Styela clava: one gene and its partner. The protein of the gene in region 2 purifies or fractionates together with the protein of the main gene of each other region. This does not show direct contact. Links are inferred from orthologs where the notes say so. Each region holds a gene or a part of one and is shown on either strand. Other genes may lie near its edges.

Evidence for each region.
Region 1: the proteins of homologous-pairing protein 2 homolog (region 2) and meiotic nuclear division protein 1 homolog purify together in Homo sapiens (co-immunoprecipitation; 6 studies listed by BioGRID and IntAct, counting the BioPlex papers as one, with this or other methods). This does not show direct contact. The link is inferred for Styela clava from reciprocal best matches to the Homo sapiens genes PSMC3IP and MND1.

Annotation. Positions count from the first base shown.
Region 1 is NC_135257.1:8,019,921-8,030,224, reverse strand, and holds meiotic nuclear division protein 1 homolog, read left to right. Parts: upstream 1-5,652; 5' UTR 5,653-5,808; coding exon 5,809-5,811; intron 5,812-6,696; coding exon 6,697-6,820; intron 6,821-6,888; coding exon 6,889-7,112; intron 7,113-7,221; coding exon 7,222-7,336; intron 7,337-7,404; exon of another isoform or gene 7,405-7,428; coding exon 7,429-7,580; 3' UTR 7,581-7,981; downstream 7,982-10,304. Other genes in the region: coiled-coil domain-containing protein 77-like, read right to left, coding at 8,028-9,452. UniProt on the Homo sapiens protein: Required for proper homologous chromosome pairing and efficient cross-over and intragenic recombination during meiosis.
Region 2 is NC_135258.1:9,831,081-9,841,247, reverse strand, and holds homologous-pairing protein 2 homolog, read left to right. Parts: upstream 1-4,975; 5' UTR 4,976-5,982; coding exon 5,983-6,615; 3' UTR 6,616-7,710; downstream 7,711-10,167. UniProt on the Homo sapiens protein: Plays an important role in meiotic recombination. Stimulates DMC1-mediated strand exchange required for pairing homologous chromosomes during meiosis.

The DNA of each region.
Region 1 (10,304 bases), on a different chromosome or scaffold from region 2:
TTGCTACTCGGCGTCTTTTTTACGTATAGTACCTGCCTTTTTGCGCCTGTAACGAAACAAAATAATCTCTATATCTAAGAAGTTTTGCTTACTTGGAAAGCTGGAATAACAGGCAAGCTGTAAAGAGCAATTCTGGACATCATAGACGTTTTTTTTTTATCAGAGAAGATTACAAACGCGATAGCGGGAAGATTTGTGTGGAACATTTTGCAGATAATGACAAAGTTCAAAGTTAGTAATTTTAATGTTTGCGCTTAATCATTGAAATTTCATTTAAAGAGGGTGTCATACAAAACTGTGCTGCGATACAATTCCATAACACAAAGTTTGCACCTATCGAACTTGCTTTTGTAGGTGAATTTATTAGACATATTACATATTCAGTTAATCGTAGGTAACATTGCTGGTACATAATGCATCGTAGATAGGTTTGTTTAAATTTAGGAATTTAGCTCATAGCCCACTAATTAATATTATCTTCTATGCAGGAGGTTGCAGGGCTGAATTAAACTTGCAGCCTTACCGATCACCTGACGATGCTCATTTAGTTTGGCTCGAGCAAGTCTTCTTGAAATGCTTGTGTGGATGGAAACTACCTATATTTTTTGCCTTCCTCCGATTTTAGACAAATTTATTCTGAGGGATTTCGCATATAATTCTCACTGATTGTTGGCTGTTTATAATTCCTATTGATTGTGAATTCTGATTATAACAATGAGTTGAAAATTTTTTTACCTAATTTACTGGCACCTTTTTCTTGTCAATACTCCAAGCTGAGGTAATAAACATGACAATACATTTATGTCATCTGGAAGCAAAATATGCACACTAATTAATAGTTTGGCACATTGAGATAATACATCATGACAGAAAATACAAGTTCAAGATATGTATGACCATCACATGGTAATTAAAATTAAAAAAAAATAATAGGGGCTGTGGAGTATGGAAAGTTCAAGACAAAGAAAAGAACAAATGTTCATAGCTCATGAACTCTCAATTTGGCCTCCATTGCTTTGTGAAGGCCAGTATATTTCGAGTGGCTGACTTGGTTTACCTTTATGATAGCAACGATTTTGTATTTAATATAGCGAGATTATTTCAATTTAATTGAAGTGATATAATTTCCCAAAGCAATGCTTGAATCGTCTAGAATAGATCAGTGGTGTCAAACTCATGGGTTTTTGAGAGCCGCATTGCATTTTGAAAATTGTAAAAAGAGCCGCAAACAGTTTTTGATAATGTATACTTAAAAGATATTTTTAAGATAGTTTTAGTTTGTGACATATATTGTGATGCAACTAAACAGTTGGATTAAGTTTTATTATTTTCTTCAATTTCAAATGCAATTACATATTATTATTTGCATTCCACTATTATTGCAACATTTGCAAGTTACAGTATTTATTATAAAAAATCGTAAAATTCTATGTACAACCATCAAAATCATTTTTGAACAAGCTTTGAATAAGGAAAGAATAATACATACACTAAAAATAACTTAATCTAAATATATGAACCTAAAATTAACAAAAATACTACAGTATAAACTCAATGTTTTAATAATTACATTTGTCCTGGCGTTTGGCATCTTTTTTGTGTCACCAGCATACTAAGGCCAGTCTGAAATGATTTTATAGTACCAACTCTAACTAACGAGGCCACATGATCATGGGTTTATCTGGATCTTTACGAATGTTTAATTAATTCCAGTAATGCAAAAAAGTTACTTTTATCATTTCATGTATAGATCAGTAAAAAAACAAATGACAGATTTTTTCGACAAGACATTTCGCACTACATTGCGTGGCATAGGATTGCTTGAATTATTATTGATATTGATTTTTAGTAACTAAGTCGTTGTATAATTATATTAATATACAAACACATGGAAATTTTCTGTTCGAAGTTGGTCTTCGAATTTGTCATATTGACTGCTGAGCTTATTGTGTTTTTTGATTGTTTTGATGAAAATATGACAAATTAAACAATGTGCTTCAGAATTTTGTGAAGAGCAGAAATGTTACAACTCCCATTTTCTTCGAAAATGCCACCTTCTTCATGTACTTTGCGTTTAATTTAATTACTCAAGTGTTTTATTCAAGTATTCTTTTGCTAGCTTGATGTGTATTCTTAATTGGGTCAAAATGTGGACAAAAAAAATCAATATTCCAAAACTACTTTCAGTAAATTGTTTTTTGTGTGAATAATCAATTTCACTTTAGAAGGTTTGAAAAATCTATTACATTTAGATAAAAATAAAAAAACTTCCAAAATACTATTACAATTATTGTTAAACGTTCGAGGGCCGCACTGGAAGTTCTCTGGGGCCGCGAGTTTGAGATCCCTGGTCTAGATTGAAGTTGTTCAAAAAATATATGATAGTATTTTATCATGAATGATGATTATACCCCTTCCGGAATTTCTTCTATAGTACTACCAAAAGTTGATGAACCAAATATAACACAGGTGCAGTGAGGTACCCGTAATCCTCATTTCCAAAGCTGTTTTAAGTATGTCTGGCGTGTTTTGTGCCCTTTTACAAATAAGACCGCTTATGCAATCTTACGCTTCGGAATTTTTAGTTATTTTTCTCAAGCCCTGCAGGATGTGGGGGCCATACACAACTCTACCGGAGGGTCAAATGTCTTTGCATGCCTCCATAGGTTGTTTTTCTATTGCAATTTTCTATTTTCAAATGCATTATATTTCTTGGAATCACACTGTCACTGATATGTCGCCAGACTTCTGATATATCCCCGTCTGCTATAGTTGTCCTGTGAATAAATAATAGGAAATTGAGATTAGACGAATAGTTGAAAGTTTTGCTTTATGTCGGCTTAATTTCTTGATTGATATACTTACTATTTCTGCTATTGCCTCTTGTGCTGCAAGAGTCTCACAATGCTTGGACAGGTTTGTCCACAACTTTCACATCTGAAGAAGTTAAGAATAAATAAAGCAGTCTATATGATTCAGAATGGAAAAGCTAATAAATCCAATATCTTATGTTTTATTTAAAAAATATTTTACTGAATTTGGTATATAAACCAACTAATAAAAGGGTTTAGTCAGAAAATTACAAGCATTCGTGGCTCCAAATACTTGAGAAATCAGACTATACAATATAGACCGGTATGAGTGAAATGTTAGGTGAACTTGTTAACACTTTGATTCAATACGCAAATAAAAGTGAATGCGTAATAGTATGTTACAATGAGCAGCAATCAACAATGAGTATATATCCTCACTGATTAAAAAAATCTAACTGGAGGTGCATGAACTATTTGAAACCATAAGGGGTAAGTAAATATGTAATTTCGGCAAATGGGCAACTACGTACCGTATTCGTGCTACGCCTTGAAAGCAGCACACATCCGCTCGTTTTCGTCTCGTCAAGTATGTGCATTGGAGCGTGCTATCGAATACGATCTTCGGACAAAAATGCCGGAGTTGCGCATCATGTTGTTTAATGTCATTGATCAAAGTGACTATAAACCAAGTGGCGACACCGAGTGTAATGATGCATAACAGACGTCATTTTGTGTCCAGCGAATCGGGAAGAACGCGGCAGCGTCGGTTTGTTTTAGCTTCGTCAGAAGGTCTCGTTCGTCAATTTGTTTGAAGATTTTTTTTCTGTTTTGCATTTTATTCGGGTAATTTCATTATTTGTTATTTGCCTGTTTGCCTCGTGGAATCATACTTGTATCGTGCGGTTTCGTGAAAGTTGCGATAGTTATCTTATCATCCCGTGTGAGTTGTGCAACTTTGAAACCTCATATCTCACGAACCTTATATTATATGCAGATACGTTTTTTATTGTTTGAGAGACAATCTAGGAGACTGATTATATTTATGAGATAGAGATAAAATGTTGCGATTATCATACATAAATCGGCAAAATTGAGAAGCGTGGAATATTTTTGAAAAGCTTGTGAATTAAATAACAAAAACTTCGATTTGTTCTTGTTTTAACCTAATATGACATCGACACATTTGCATAGGTTAAAGATAGCTTTTGTCATTAGATAGAATTTATCGTGCACCAGTAAAATTGTATAAGTTATTTCATTCAATGTTCTCCAATTCTTGGCATGTCCACTGCGCCATCTTGAGTTAAACAACAACGTTCCCTAATTATTTCGTTACGCAATTACGTCGCAATGTTCCGTATGAAAAAAACATATCGCTTTCCTTCGCAAGTGTGAATCGTCATTAACCTAATGCATACGTTTAAATCAGGTACTATTTGAACCGGTATTATGATACCTGTTCACACCATGCCAAAAGTTTAAAGCCTGCGTTTTACATTAATCATTCCAGAAACTGATCGAATGAATTTTCTCGGGAAAATTTTTCTTAATTCAACGAGCTGTTGCAACAGTTGCTCCAAAAATTATAGAATGTAAACGATCTCATGGCTGGCACATTGTGTGCCTCATCAATTTCATCGAAGCATGTACATTATAGGGTACAAAATTGAAAAACCAGCCGCCGCGACTGGTGTTGCAGCTCTTATCAACCTATTATTGGCAGGATATTTCAATTCTTTTGCGTCGAAAAATGTAAAATATTTACTAGGTGATCTAGCGACGCCATTATGTCTTCTACGTTCTCGTTGATAAAACTTAATTGTAATTTTATCGATATCCAACAGTGAAAAATTAGCCTTGATGTTTCCGGGGGAACCCTATAAACCACGGGGTTCAAATTGATTGTTTGTTTCTATGAAAAGTGTCAATCCCGATGAATGCCCACAATCGTTACTAACTTTTTTTAGGTCTTACACGCATGATAAATATTTGAAAATTGATAGTTTTACCCAATATTCATGCCACTCATCCAAAAAAGCAATCGTATTTTTGCGCGAAGCATAAAATATATTTCGCGCCAATATTAATATTCATTTTCATAATATATGTTCGCCTATATTTACGGTTCGCCTCTTACTTTTCTGACAGATATAGTTGCTCGAAATATAATTTCCCATCCTGCAACAATATCGCTTTTAAAACTTTGAAACGTTTTCTCAATTTAAAGTTAAATATTCACGCGAAAGAGGAGACAAATAAAATTATTGAAAAACGGTATGCTAGTACACCTCTCGGCAAGAGCTCAAGTCAAATAGATAATATATTATTTTATACACTCCAGATTATTAGATGTTCTTGTAAACTTGGTATACGCCGTTATCCTTCATTCCAAGCATGTAGTATATTTTTTTAATATTATTTTGGCAATGTACACCTTGTTGAAAATGTTAAAATAGGTTTTGTGCAAGTAGCGATACTTACATCAGGAATTTTATAATAAAATGTGTATCTTTTGTTTAATATTTAGGTCTCATTGGGTGTTGATTCATCGAGTGAAGTTGGATGACTTTAACCTTAACTTCGTATATGCTGACCATACCGCCGAGCTGAGTTATCCGAGAAACATCTGCGAATATTTAATTTTTCAGAAGAATGTTCATTTGTTTTGCCGCTGGGAAACTTTGGTCCAAATTATTGAGCATCGTTTATTTTATTCAGCTGTTAACGATCGCAGGTTTAAATCACTCAGTTGGGATCATACAGCGATAGAATTCTGGACACAAAATGGCTGGTGTGACGTCACACGGGCGCTTATAACGTTACCAATGCATGTCCTAGTCCTCTATAGCAAAACGCCATTCTCGCAGCACTGCAATCTTAGGTAGATGTGAAAATGCTATTATTTTGAACAAGTCGCGTTTGCCAATGACCGTGACCATTCCGTCATTTTTTGTTATTCAAGGTTCCTGTCGAATAGACCACTCATACTATAACTATGGTGAGTTTGATTTACCAAATTATATTGGGGTATCTGCTACAATATGTTGATAGACATTTTAAATTAATCGGTATCTCAATTTTTGCAATCTGAATTCCCTATATTTTACTGTTGCAGTGTTCCTTTTTTTCACTTAGGTATACTGGTATATAAATGACATGTTAACACCCTGTTGCCTCAATTCTTTCATTTTCCTTCAACTTCTATCTGTAATTAGATCTGGCCTCTAACAATTGTTTGCATATTTAACACATCTGAGAAATGGCTTTTCGTTAACTACCAGATTTTTTTTTTGGCAGAATGAAACTGTTGTTTTTAATTTAACATTGGGTGTTCTTCATTCTATTTTTCAAATATTGCCTGAAATTAAGTTCCATTAGTATTCCACTACTAGCCCTACAAGACTCTCTCTCTCTCATTGGTATGCCTGTGTGTAGCCTCATCTATCATTGTGAGAAATTGATATGTCATGCAAGAATGATAATTGGAACAAATATGAATGTTTAAAAATAGTTTAACATGTTTCTGTATTGCATTGTTCACTGTTAGTTCAACTTACTTCAGGCATTATGTGTCAATATTTTAGGCATGTTCACATTTTTCATATTATCATGGGGGTAACAAGAAACCTGAATATACACTACTCAAACCATCAACTTTGTTTGCTACTAAACATAACCAAACTGATTTTTGTGCACACATTGACTTGTTTGCTCTTGGTGGAACAATTCCACTATATAGTTACACAAGAAGATTCGTCTTTATCCAAATAAATGGAATCCTGATACTTGCAAATTTAGGCATTCTCACCCTATTTTTTGTTCTCAAACACAATGATGAAGTATATCTCTGCCTGAAAAACTGATGACCATATATTTTTTGCAGTCAAAGAAAAGAGGTTTGAGTTATGAAGAGAAACGAAAAAGAATGTTGGATATATTTTTTGAAAAAAAGGAGTTCTTCCATATCAAAGAGATGGAAAAGATAGCACCAAAGCTTAAAGGAATTAGTATGTAATGTTAGATACCAAATTAAATTTGAATGCTGGGAATAATTTTTATTTTATTATTTATTTAGCTCCAATGAGTGTGAAAGAGGTGCTCCAAAGCTTAGTTGATGATGATATGGTTGAAACAGAAAAAGTGGGAACAAGCAGTTTTTATTGGGCGTTTCCAAGTAAAGCTGTGAATGTGAGGAAGAGAAAGCTACAACATTTGCAAAGTACATACAATGAACAAGAGAAAGAACTTGCATCAACTAAAGATGAGGTTGCGAAAGCAAAGAAAAGTCGTACGGAATCTGTGAGAGTTTTATTATAAATTATCTCTATTTTAACTTGAGGGCACCATACTTCAAATTAACATCAACAGATAACAAAAATTCTCGGCAAACTCTTTCAAATACTTTCAGAATGAACGAGAACGTTTGCTAAGTGAGCTAACGACGCTTCAAGCTGATAAGGATTCGTTGACAGAGGAATTGGCTCGATTAAAAGATTGTGACCCAGAGACTATAAAACAAATGCGTAAGCATACTTCCAAGTTCTGATCTGCTATAATTATTAGTAAACATCTATATTGAAACAAAAGTTAAAAAATTGCAAATATTTTTTTGCAGAAGAAGAAATAGGTATCGCAAAGGATGCAGCAAATAGATGGACAGACAATATATTTTCATTGAAAACATGGATAAAAAGGAAGTTTCCCATTGATGAAAACATCATCAACAAGCAATTTGATATACCAGAAGATTTGGACTATATAACATGACAGGCAAATTTTAGCGAAATTGACACTGCAGGGGAAGAAATTGGCATTGTAAAGGATGCAGCAAACAGGAGATAGATATATTTTCATTAATACCTTGGATAAAAGGGCGGTTTTTCATTGATGGTAACCTGATCAATGAGCAACTTGACACAACACATGACTATAAGCAAAAATCTGTCCGTTGTTTAATTAGGAAATCGAAAGGTTCCGATGCACATCTAATCAGATTGTAATGGCCATATGGTATCTATTACAAAAAGGAAATTTTAACAGATTGCTTCATAAATGGTGTATCAGTTTTATTTTATTATTTGATGGTAATAATTCATTGCTGTTTTTATTAAAGGACGTTTATACAAGCAATTTATCAGAAAATACATAATAGGATTGCTCAGTAGTTACAGACATATATTGCTGTGCCATATTGAGTTCATCCATCTCTATTGATCAGTACATTTTTCGCAAATCACTTTCTAGTGAATACAACTTGGCCTTAAGATTTTTGAGATCATTTTGAATAACTCTCGAACGTCCTGCAGTTGTACGAACAGTTTGTAGTACCTCCACATCTGAGACTGTACCACCAACTGTGACTTTATATAGTTGTTTTTCCACATCCTTCAAACGCTTACGCAACAATTTAATGTCATTCTTGAATCCTTCAACTTCTGAGCATCTGCGCTTCTCTAATGCTTCATATCGTTGTGTCATGAGTTGAAGCCGTTGTGCCATTTTATCAGTTCTCTCTTTAAAAACATTTTTGTGGACGTCTGACTCCTCCCTTATTCTAGCCAGTTGGTCTTCTGCTTGGATGCATTGTTCTCTGTACATGTCTGCAAGCTTCGCAGCTTGCTCCAACTGAGAGTTTAGTGCTTGAATTTCAGCTTCCATCTGTTGTTGTGCCTCGTAATCAGCGAGGTATGCAGCTTTTGATATAAGTTGTGATTTTTTAGATTCGCCATGCCTCGAAGCGAGCTGGTCTCGTGCCATGTCCAGCTCTTGTAAAAGCCTATCTTTTTCGCTCATCCATTCTTTCTCTTTATTTCTCTGCTCAAGTTTTAAATTCAGCATGTCTTTTGTGCTTTCGTATAACATTGATTGAGCATTTTTCATTTTGATCTCAACACGCTGCAACCGGTCCTTATCTCTTTCTCTGCAAAGATCAGCTTCTTCTCGCAAAATTTGGCGGTCGTCTAACAGTGAATTGATTTGGTCCCGAGAGAGTCTTGTTTGCTCTTCTAATTGAGCCTGAAGTGCCTCGACTTGAAGACAGAGTGTCTGATTATCTTTCCTTAGATCACTTGACACAGCCTGGTCTTCAGCCGATTTACTCTTTTTTATAGCATGAGATTTTTTTGATATTGCTGAACTTGCTTTGTTCGGTCTTCCTTCTTCATTCGGGAAGTTTGGCTTTGGAAGTTTTTGTGGAACAATAATTTTGGCTGGAGGATCCTTGTGAAAATAGGAAACTTCTGAAGCAGACGGCCCAGCAATCGCAAGTAAATGTTGAATACGTTTCTGATTTTCAACATCCCGAATCTTTAATCGATCATTTTCGGAATATAGGCGAAGTACTTGTTCCCTCTCTTGCATTATGCAAACTTGCATATCACTGACTGCCTTTTGAAGATCGGCAATTTCATTTTCCCTGTGATGTAATTCACTTTCCAAACGATGTTGATCTTCGTAAGTGCTTTTGTATTGGTCTAGAGTTTTCTGCAATTCACAGTTTTCTTCATCAAAATCCGCGATTTTTTTTCGATAGTACTCCAATAACTCTCGTGATGGACGAAGCTGTGCCAACCTGTGGGTTATAGGAGGAATGGGTGGGTCATCGCTGCCACCATTCAGCATATCGCTGCTTAAATCCATAACTGCTTACGCCTGACTTTCTAGCAATCTTCACAAACGTCCCCAAAAAGCATAGCATAGAATGAAGAAATTTTGAAGATCGCGGGCAAACGTTTACTCGTTTTTGTTGTTGGTAGCGTGGTGCCATCTAACGGTGATTATTCGTTATCTCGTGGATAGGATAGGATGTACATATTTATCCCGGGGGAGAGGAAATTCATATGGGATTAGTTAGTTATTTGTTTTTCGGAAGCATGGACTTGATGGTGGAGGAAGCCGTAACCGACCAGCGGTTACGTGAACCACCCTACGGCGGCGAGGAGTCCAGCAATCCTCTCGCACATATTCATCCTTGCATGGGATTCGAATCTTCGCACCCACGCAGAGTAATCAGAGGTGCAGTGGCGAGCGTATTTCTAACGCTTAGCACAATGTTTTTTATTACATATGTTCTGACGTTTGGCATCTCTTTTGTTCCACCAGTTTACTAACATTAGGTTAAATATGATTTTACAGATTCAACTCTAATTAACGAGGTCACATGATCATCGGTCAATCTGGATCGTTGAGAATGTTTGATTAATTTCGGTAATGCAAAAATATTAAATGTATCATTTCATATAAGGATCAATAAACAAACAAAAATGACCGACTTTTCGGACCAGCCGTTTCCCGCGACATTTCCTACCATTACATGGCATAGAACCGCTTGAGTTATGAATGATATTGATTTTTAGTAACCTCGTAGTTGTATAATTATAACAATATACAAATACATAAATATTTCTGTTCGAAGTTGATCTTTAAATATTTCATATTGACTGCTGAGCTTATTCCGATAATGTCTACTGATATGGTATTCTTTCATTGTAC
Region 2 (10,167 bases):
AATACTGTATCTAGGGATGCGGTGTATTCCACCATATCCAAAAATACCCCTCTATTAGAAGAGCCAGCCCGTTCATCGTGCCCACGGAGGGACAGCTCGTGACAACCAATGAACTTCAAAACATCTATCAATCGACCGAGAACATGGCGGTTTTTCTCGACGTTTTGGTTGTGCCGACAAATAGAAACCGCGCGTCCTTCATTCAACTGTGCTGCAATATTAACATTTCCGAATGTTCGGTATTTTACTGCATTGTCCAGATGCTCCATAGAAGATTGATGATCCCTGGCACGCTCGGAAAGATGTTTAAGATCTCTAAAACCAAATTTACACCAACGTGAGTCACGGGCGGTAGCAAAAAGTAGGCAATAAAAACAAAAAAGTGCATTTTTGTCCTCGCTGTAACACAACCATTCGTGTTTTTTATACCAAGTTTCTGCGCAGAATGTACGCCGACGCTTTCCTCCGTCATGGGATTGTTCCAGTGAACAATTTTTTGGTTGATAAGGCCCAAGACGTTGTACCTCTAATTTTTGTTCCAGCGGCAGCTGCAAAAACAGAGTGCGAAGTAGTGCAGCAACCTTATTCATTATGAGGTCTAAGGCTAAGAAATGCGAAGCCGGAAAGAAGTGAGGAGCTCAAAAGGAATGTGGAAAATCGAAAGCAAATGGACTAAAGGTCTCTAACTGATTCAAATAGCGAAACAAGCGACAAAAACGAAGGCGAGGAAACTATCAACTCTTCAAGCAACCAACGAACGAGAAGGAATGCGTGAATATGTCAACACGTTGTTGGAAGAAACGTCGGCATTGTGTCGTCATAATTTCGGGGCTAGCCCCGATGATTTAGTAAAAGAAACAGAAAACAAACGAGACGAACGCGGCGAGTGGAAGATAAAAGAGAGAATACGATATACAATGAGCAACCGGGGCAAAATCGGCGTCGCCCCGTCGACGTTCGGCGAAGGCTTTGCGAGCGAAAAATGAACCATGTCGGGAGAATATGGCTAGTGTAGACAGTCTGTGCAACCGATATTGAGGTATTTTTCGAATATTTTTTATTGTACCGAAAAAACAACCGGGGCATTGCCCCGGTTGGCCCTATCGACGCGCCGCCACTGTGTAATAATATTTTTTATTTTTTTTGGTGGGCGGGCGCGTACTTTTACGTTTTTTAACTTTATTTTAAGTTATGCTCGCCTTCCAGGTATCTCTGCATTTTGTTTGTTTGTCCAGTTTTTGTGTTGTTTTTATGTCAGAGTAACGAAATAAATGATTGATTGATAGAATCAGTTCTTCAAAGCCTTTCGACGGACCATCAGTACCGGTACGTTCATTACATAAAACGAACCCCAACTGCGTAACCCCTCACAGTCGGAGTTTCCTATGCATAAGCATTTCTGTTTTACCGCGGTAGTATATATTTACGGTTTTACATTATTGTTTTAATCTTCACAAAACTACGTGATATGGAACTAGGATTAAATGGCAAAAACAGAAGTTAAACCGTGAATATATACTACTGGCCCTAAAGATTATTATTATTATTTCTTAGTTTCTTTTTTTATGTTATTATTTTAACCTTCTGGCGACCGGAAACTTTCCAAGTTCTTGAGGTCATGCCAAGGTCATCAGTTGATAGAAAGTACTTTACGTAAGATGTGAGCTGTTCCAAGAAAAACGGTTTTTTGAAGCTGTTCTGCATTTATATTTCCTGGAATATGTTGGACATATTTTTCAAATTATTTTCCGATAAGTCCAAGCGCCCCCACCACAACTGGTATTGTTGAAGTTTTGAGTCCCCACATCTTTTGTATCTCGATTTCTAGATCTTTGTATTTTGAGAGTTTTTCAAATATTTTTTTAGAGGTGTTCCTTTCGGATGGTATAGCTACATCAATTAGCAGACAGGATTTTTTTGTGAAATCTTTTACTATAATATCAGGTCGATTTGCTCCTATAGTTTTGTCAGTGTGAACAGTAAAATCCCACAAAATTGTTTCATTTTCTGCTACCGGTTCAGGCTTGTGATTGTACCACCTGTCTTCTGTAGGTATATGGTAGTGTTTGCAAATTTTCCAGTGCAAATAGGATCCGATTTTGTTATGCCTTTCTGTATATTCTGTCGGTGCCAAAACTTTACACCCGGATACAATGTGGTCAATGGTTTCATCAAACGATTGGCATATTCTGCATTTTGGATCAATGTTTAGTTTCATAATTTTATTCTTGTGAGCGTTGGTCGGGAGACTTTGGTCCTGAGCAGCAATTATAAATCCTTCCGTTGTGGGTTTCAGACCTGAACTTTTTAGCCATTATGCGTTTGTTGTTCATTTACATCCAGTGCACATGTTCTAGTGAGATATTTTCCATGCAATGGTTTATCATGCCAAATTTTTAGTCTCTGCTTTTCAATTTCTTTCTTATACTTGAGCTTGACATCTTTTGCCATCTTGTTTGCACCTTTTTTCTCAGTTAAGAAATTAGTAACACCAGTTTCCTTCATAAATTCATCAGTTTTATTGAAGATTGAGTCGAAACGCCTATTTTTATTTTTATCGAAATCTCGCACGATGCGCATTAGTGGATCTTCTGTTTCGGTCAAATATATTTTCAGTCCTACAGTAGATGCTTTGTAACTTTCCTCAATTTGAATCAGACTTCGTCCACCCTTGCTTCGCGATAAGTACAAACGTTCAGTGTCTGCTCGAGGATGATGTATCTTATTTATCGTCATTAGTTTTCTCGTTTTGGTATCAAATTGTTTGATTTCTTGCTTAGTCCACTTGATGATATTGAAACTGTACAAAACTACTGGTATTGCAAAACTGTTAATTGCCTTGAAGATGTTTATTATTATTATACTACGGTTAAACACTCTACTCGCGAACGCGCAATGAAGGCAAATTCTGGAATGAGTTCTAAGTACTACGTCATCGAAGGCCATTTCCAAACTGCGGTCGATTTTTGTTGGAGCGGTCGTCAAAAATTGTGAAAATATATATAGAATCGAATTCACCAAAATAGAGTTTTGGTGATTACCTCCATTCAAACTTTGACGATTATGCGGTTCAAATCAGGAACTCCAACTCCAACAGTTCGGCGCGAAAAAAATCTTTCAAATTTTTACTACGGTATAGTTTAGTATCACATGCACTTCTAGTTGGCCTGGTTCAAAATTTTTTGTATATGTTATTTATCATCCCCACCTGATTACGTCACTACGACGCCACAGTTGCGTAATGAATACCTCCAAAGTGTAAGGATGGTCGCCCAAAACGCGCAGACGATCACCCGGAATCGGAGGCGCAGTTCTTACCACTTCTTACCACTTCTTACCACTCGTGCATCTTACCTGTGACACACGGGGTCCCACAAGGATCTAATTTGGGGCCTTTATTATTTTTGATCTACATCAACGATCTCGCCCATTGTTCATCATTCTTCTCAAAATTATTCGCGGATGACACCAATCTCCTCGACAGCGACAAATCTCTCCCTGCTCTTCATTCAAGAGTCAACTCTGAAATAGTAAAAGTAGCTAATTGGATGAAGGCTAATAAATTATCTATAAACGTTGACAAATCCAAAACTATGCTTATTTCACCAAATAAACATAAAACTCACACCAAATTTTCGATTGATATTGGCAACACTAGATTAGAAAATGTAAGTTCTTACAAATATTTGGGCATATTTTTGGATAGCCAATTGAAATGGGATATTCACATAATGAACTTGGCTGCTAAACTATCTAGATCGGTTGGAATACTGTACAAACTTAGGCACTTTGTACCTGTAACAACTCTCCGTATGATTTACCATTCTCTATTCCAAACCCACATTCAATATGGCATTATTGCATGGGGTTCAGCCAATAGAACTCTATTACATCAAATCGAGATTATCCAAAATAGAGCCATCCGTGCTCTTTCTGGTAGTGGACGTCGCGAACAACTCAATCCAATCTACCATGAACTTCAAATTATAAAACTGACAGATATTCATAAAATAGAGGTACTGAAACTGATGCATCAACATCATAACAATAAACTCCCTGTCACATTTACTCATTATTTCTATAAGCAAAGTAATATTCATTCACATAGTACACGGTCTTCTACCCTTGGTTCTTACTATGTGCATCGTTTCACCACCAAACTAACACAAAATTCAATAAAATATTTAGGTGTTAAATTATGGAACTCTTTGGCTGATAGTATTCGAAACATGAATTACGATGCATACAAACAAGCATTGAAAAAGGTATACCTAGGCGGCTATATACTTGATCCGTCTGCTTTTCAAATAATATGATTTCCTTTACTGGCGTATTGTATATATCAGTATATAGACGTTCATATAGTCTCCGTAACGTACGGCACCTTTCCGGTCTTGATGCCTCGCCCTGTTACCGGTACTGTGATGGGATATTGTTCCGTACAAATTCCGATTTACTTGAATTCTTGCTGTTACCATATACAGTTATTTTTTGTGTGATCCTACTCCACTAATAAAATGGTCCTTACGTTTCGTATCCAATATGCCTCAGTAGGCTACAACAACCAGCTTTTGATCGCTGCTAGCAACGAGCTTCATTCATTTCTTGTTACGGTGCATGAACGCACAGTTTAACCCCACGAGGGCGCTGTCGCGTGTATTATTACTCTGGTGGTATTTTGTTTCTCTGTTAATTATGATTGATTAAATTTGTATAATTTTTTTTTGTCATTCCCTCTAAATCTCCAGCCCATAGGTGTCGCTGACTCGATGACTGTCACAGTCTTTCGCGACTCCTTATCTATTGCTATGAATTTCTCACTTGTATGAATTCTGATGTGTATATTTAATTTTTTACGATTGTCATTATGCACGTTTGTCAATTTTTCGTGCTTTAAATTTTGTGTTAATTCTTGCATGATAGAAATAAATTATCTGAATCTGAATCTGAATCTGAATCATGGCAGCTCCTGCCACAAACGAACCGCGGCAGCTCTTGCCATGGTTTTATAGCGCTATTCAGTAATCAGTATTAACGGTATATTCACAAATTAATGTACCAGATTTTAATTGATCATGTGGAATTATATCTACTTAAACCCTAACCCTAACCCCAAATCAATCAAAACTGTATCCATAAGAAAAACGTTCCAACTTACCCAATATTTGTCACCATAATAGACAGCCCTGTCTTTACGGCCCACCTGCCGCGGTTACGGCAGCAAAATTTTACCTGCCATTGGTTTTCAATTTGCTGCCGCGGTAACGGCAGCTCGACATTGGTTTGTGGCAGCTAAAAAGTCAGTTGCCATGAGTTTGGCCGTAGCGGCCATGGTATGGAAATACCGCCATGGTTTTGCGGCAGCTGCAGATGCCACAGAATACTTAAAACTGCACTTGCGGAATCGAGCAAGCTATTTCTCGTCGCAACGATCCCGATATGCGAGAGACCGCTGGCTAGTGAGTTCGGGATTGTCTGCGCAGGTGCCATTTCGGACGATGGTATCTATACTTGGCAAGCTCTATGATGGGATTGTGACGTCGTAGTGACGTAATTTTGTATAACATAGTCAGGTGGGGGTTAGGAATAAAATATACTAAATTCGGTACCGTACCGGTATGCTACGCCCATCGGAAGTACGGTACCGCAATTCCAGTTAATCAGTGCAAAATATCGTTCATCGAATGCTGAAATGTTTTAGCGATCTACAGATTTAGAAATCTGAGGCCAGTATGCAAGCCTTTTTGTGGCGAATGACACACCGACACTAAACACATAAACCAGTACCGGTACTGTAGTATCTAAATGGAGTAAATAATTTTGACTGCTGCATTGTAAGTTTGTTTATAGTAATCACTTTGTTACAGTATCCAAAACTCACAAGTAAATTTCATTTTCCAATATCTTAATATCCATGTACAGATGCAAATGGGCATATCGAGTAACATACGAAAAATATAGCCTAATCATTAACCGTGTGTCATGGGTAAGGAAGATAAAGTTGAGACTGATGTCTATGAGTATATGAAAATACAAAATAGACCATACAGTGCTGCAGATGTTTTTTCTAATCTACATAAAGTTCATGGAAAAACAGCTGTAGTAAAAGCAATGGAGACACTTGCAGTTGATAAAAAATTAATTGAAAAAGCTTACGGTAAATCAAAAATATATGTTATTAATCAAAACGAATTTCCAGAAGTTTCCGATTTAGAAATTACTAAACTAGAAGAGGATATCAAATTATGGACTGAAAAATGTGAGACATCACAATCTGAACTGAAACTTATAAAAGCATCTCTGCGGACACATCTTAGCAGTCTAACAACAGAAGGTGCAAAGTCAAAAGTAAATCAATTGCAAAAAGAAGTAGAGCAACTCAAAGAACGTTTAACTAAAGCGAAACAATCCACAAAAGATATAAGCGAAGAAGATAAAAAAAATATTTATAAAAATCATAAACAATTTGTTTCACATTGGAAAAAGCGAAAGAGGATGACAACCGATCTAATGGAAGCTGTGTTGGAAGGATATCCAAAGTCTAAAAAAGTTTTTATTGAAGAAGTTGGAATCGAGACCGATGAGGAATGCAATGCTAAGATACCTGAAGTTTGAAACTTGTTTCGTGGATAATGGGCATCACTATATTATGATTTGAACAAATAAGCATTGTGTATTCTGGATTTATTCCACAAATATTCCTGCTTTTAATGATCCCATTTGAATTGTGTGATTAATGTGTCTGTATGTTTTTTGGTTCAAGTCCACTTAAATACTACCTGACTTCTCCAATAATAAGGATCATTGGAACTCACCTGATCAATCTCATAACAGCAAATAATCAAATTACATTAGCAATTCAGTGCAGTGGGTCTCGGTATTTTGAAATTACTTTTTCATACCATTACAGTATATATAGTATATTTTTAAATATTGCAATACAAAGACCTCTCTCATTTCTTTTTTAAGCAGGCTACAGTTCTAGATTTTAATCCTGAAGCAAGGATGAGACAGTTTCAAAATCATGTGATGGCCCTAATTCGATTACCAAGTCTTAGAAATTTGTGTAATTGAAATTATGTTCATGTGGAAATTTTGATTGAATCTATGAGAATATATCTGAACTGTGTGAAAAATGATATCTCCTGCTTAGAGAATATTTGATCTCATAGACAATTTCCTAACGCTTTGTATGTTATTACACCAAGGTTACAGGTTAATCAAATAAGCAAGCAATGGGAGATTTTTTGTTTATTTTCATTTGTTATAAATTGATGCAATTGATTGAAACGAATTAAGTCCTGAGTAATATATTCATAGACCATCTTCATTTGGACTTTATTGCACAAGAATTTTTTGTCTATAATATAAAACTTGACTTGAGCGTACCCTAAGATATCATGGTTTTCTAGCCCATCTCAAACTGTAAATGGGTTGAATATTGTGTCGGAATTCTAGACTGAACTTCTACTGTTTCAAGTTTCTATGTCCATGAAATGGTTTTAGCCCAAGACTGTCTCATTTGTGCAATGCTGTAACATGTTCTGCCGATACATTGTTTTGTCATGCTCTGGGAGTTAATGATTGTGTTGGTATATATTTATATCTTGTTAATTTTTTTGGTTATGTTCTGACTACCGTTATGTTCCACCTCTTCTTGCTTCTGTCTTTTCATTGTTCCGTTCATTAAAAGGTGTAATATTTTTTCAATGTACGTTTCAAAGTCAAGGTTCAGGATTTCCCTCAGCAATCTTAAGTGTATGTTTCGATTTCTTGGCACGTGCCATTTTCGCAGTGCGATTTTCAGGAAATTTGGTTTCATTAGGGATATGTGTTGTAAAATCTCGATTCTGTTGTAAATTTTCAAATACGTCGCGATTCTCATTAAAAATCTCCTGGTTAACCTCAAGACGGTTGTGCGGCAGGCGTAGTACAAAATCTACCAATGCGCCTCATACTTTCGTTTTTTTTCTGATAAGACAAATCAGAACTACCATGGTTCAGGTAGATGATTCTGGATTCATTAGCTTCTTAAGGTTTGACGTAATTGATACTTTTACTGGTATTTTGTTTGGGATAGTCGCGTTGTTGAACAATTTTTTCAACAAACTTCTATATGTATATATATATTATATATATGTGCCTTTGCGTGATATAGTATAATTATGCTGAGTGGGGCACAAAATAGAAAATTTCCTGCAGTTTCATTATTTGATAAGATTATTTCACAGGGTGTTTTCACTTTATGGATTGATTTGTCAACAAATGAATGAAAGTATGGGGCATGAATCGTTTAATCACAATAGAATTTGGAATCGCCCGATATATCCTACTACAAATACCCGTGGGCGCAGCGAAGTCTAACATTTGTTGTTGTTTGACAAGCAATGTGATCTGTAGATAACGGTCTAATCTAGTCTCTTTCTAACTACAGTTTCACAAAACTGAGATAACCATCGTAAAAGTACTGTAGACGCGAAAAATATATTTAAATTCCTAATATTCGTAAGAAACGGAAATGGATTGCCTTCGGTATTAGCAAAGGGAATTGCGATGGTCTAGAATGTGCGCTTGCATTGCTCGTAATTGTTTTTGTAAAGGTGAACAGGAAGGCCATGTGTGCTAACAGCCACCAAAAAGGGGCCACGAGCCATATAAACTTGGGAATCACTGGACTACTAAAACATGGGAGCCTAGCAATTATGATCTGCTTCCCAGTAGAAACTCGAAGCAAGCATTTGTAAAAAATGACCGGACTCACAATTACTTCTTTTGTCACTGACATGCAGTCAAACATAGCCACAGCCTCGGCTCATAGATATCATAAACCACAAATGACAATTCAGCCACAATAACACGTCTTATGATATCGGATATGACGAATCGTCATTGTGTCGTATGACCACACTACACTATATTGCACCTTCAACAGCGGAAACAATTATTTCGTGCATTATATATAACATGACGGGTGAACGCTTTTTTTTATCGCGCATTCAGAATAAATGATTTCTCAGAAGCGGACAAATATATATATGGAGTATGGAAATTTGTGATGTACAAAGATGAGAGATCAGTAAATATATTCAGGCTGAGTTCTATATAACACGAAATGAATATAAATTTTCAAATCGATTGGGAGCTATAGCTAAATTATTATGGCATTGCAGTGATGGTGAACATAAAATAATGATTTGGGATGCCGATATACAAGGTCAAGTTGTTCGATTGTAGAAGGTTGATTTTAATTTTGATCACCCGAAGAAAATGACAGTTTGATCATCTATATTTTTGAAATGAAGCTTTTTTCAAATTCATATAATTTCGTTCAAGCTAAATTCTATGAACATTCACATTAACTTTGCGTAGGAAATAGTATATAGTTTCAACCAAATCTATAATCACCGTCCCCTTTTGAATCACCAATTTGGAATATATGCCAATACGAGCAAATTGCAATATATTTGGACATGTTAGAGGAGCAATAGTCACACCATACATGCAGCGCAATTTATTGGTACAAATTATCACAGGACCACAGCCCGAACAAAAGTAATTTGCCTTCAATTATTACTAATGTGGAAACTAAAATATGAGTCAGGGAGCGAAGCAGGATGCGTTGTGACGTCATCCTGTATGGTATATCGAAGAAGGAAGTCACTATGGTTCTAGGTTAGGAGAGACAAGCCCTATGTTCTGTGTTTTATCTGTTTCGTGTTTCTGCAGCGAGCGGTTGTTTTACGACAATTGGACTACAATTTGATGGCGTAGCATTTTCATTGATAGATTATTCTTAGCGACTAATATAATGTGACAAGCATAGTTTGCCAAGCTAAGCGACATTTTGGAATATATATGCAGTGCAATAATTTGGCCAGGACTTTTGCGATCGACATTGTTCACTACGATCATAACCAATACTCGTTCAAGAAACTTAATAGACATAATATAAAAAATTAAAAAGTATTTAAATATTTCTAGATAAATTTGCCCTGAGCCTCGTTCCGAGTGATTAACAATAGAATGAACTTGAAACTATAATTTTTTTTTATAACTAGAAAAGAAATTCGATATATAGTTAGTTGAAAACACGCCATTAAGTCTTCACACGTTCTATACAGTATATATGTACAGCCAATTATTTGCGTTGTATGTATAAAAAGCCGG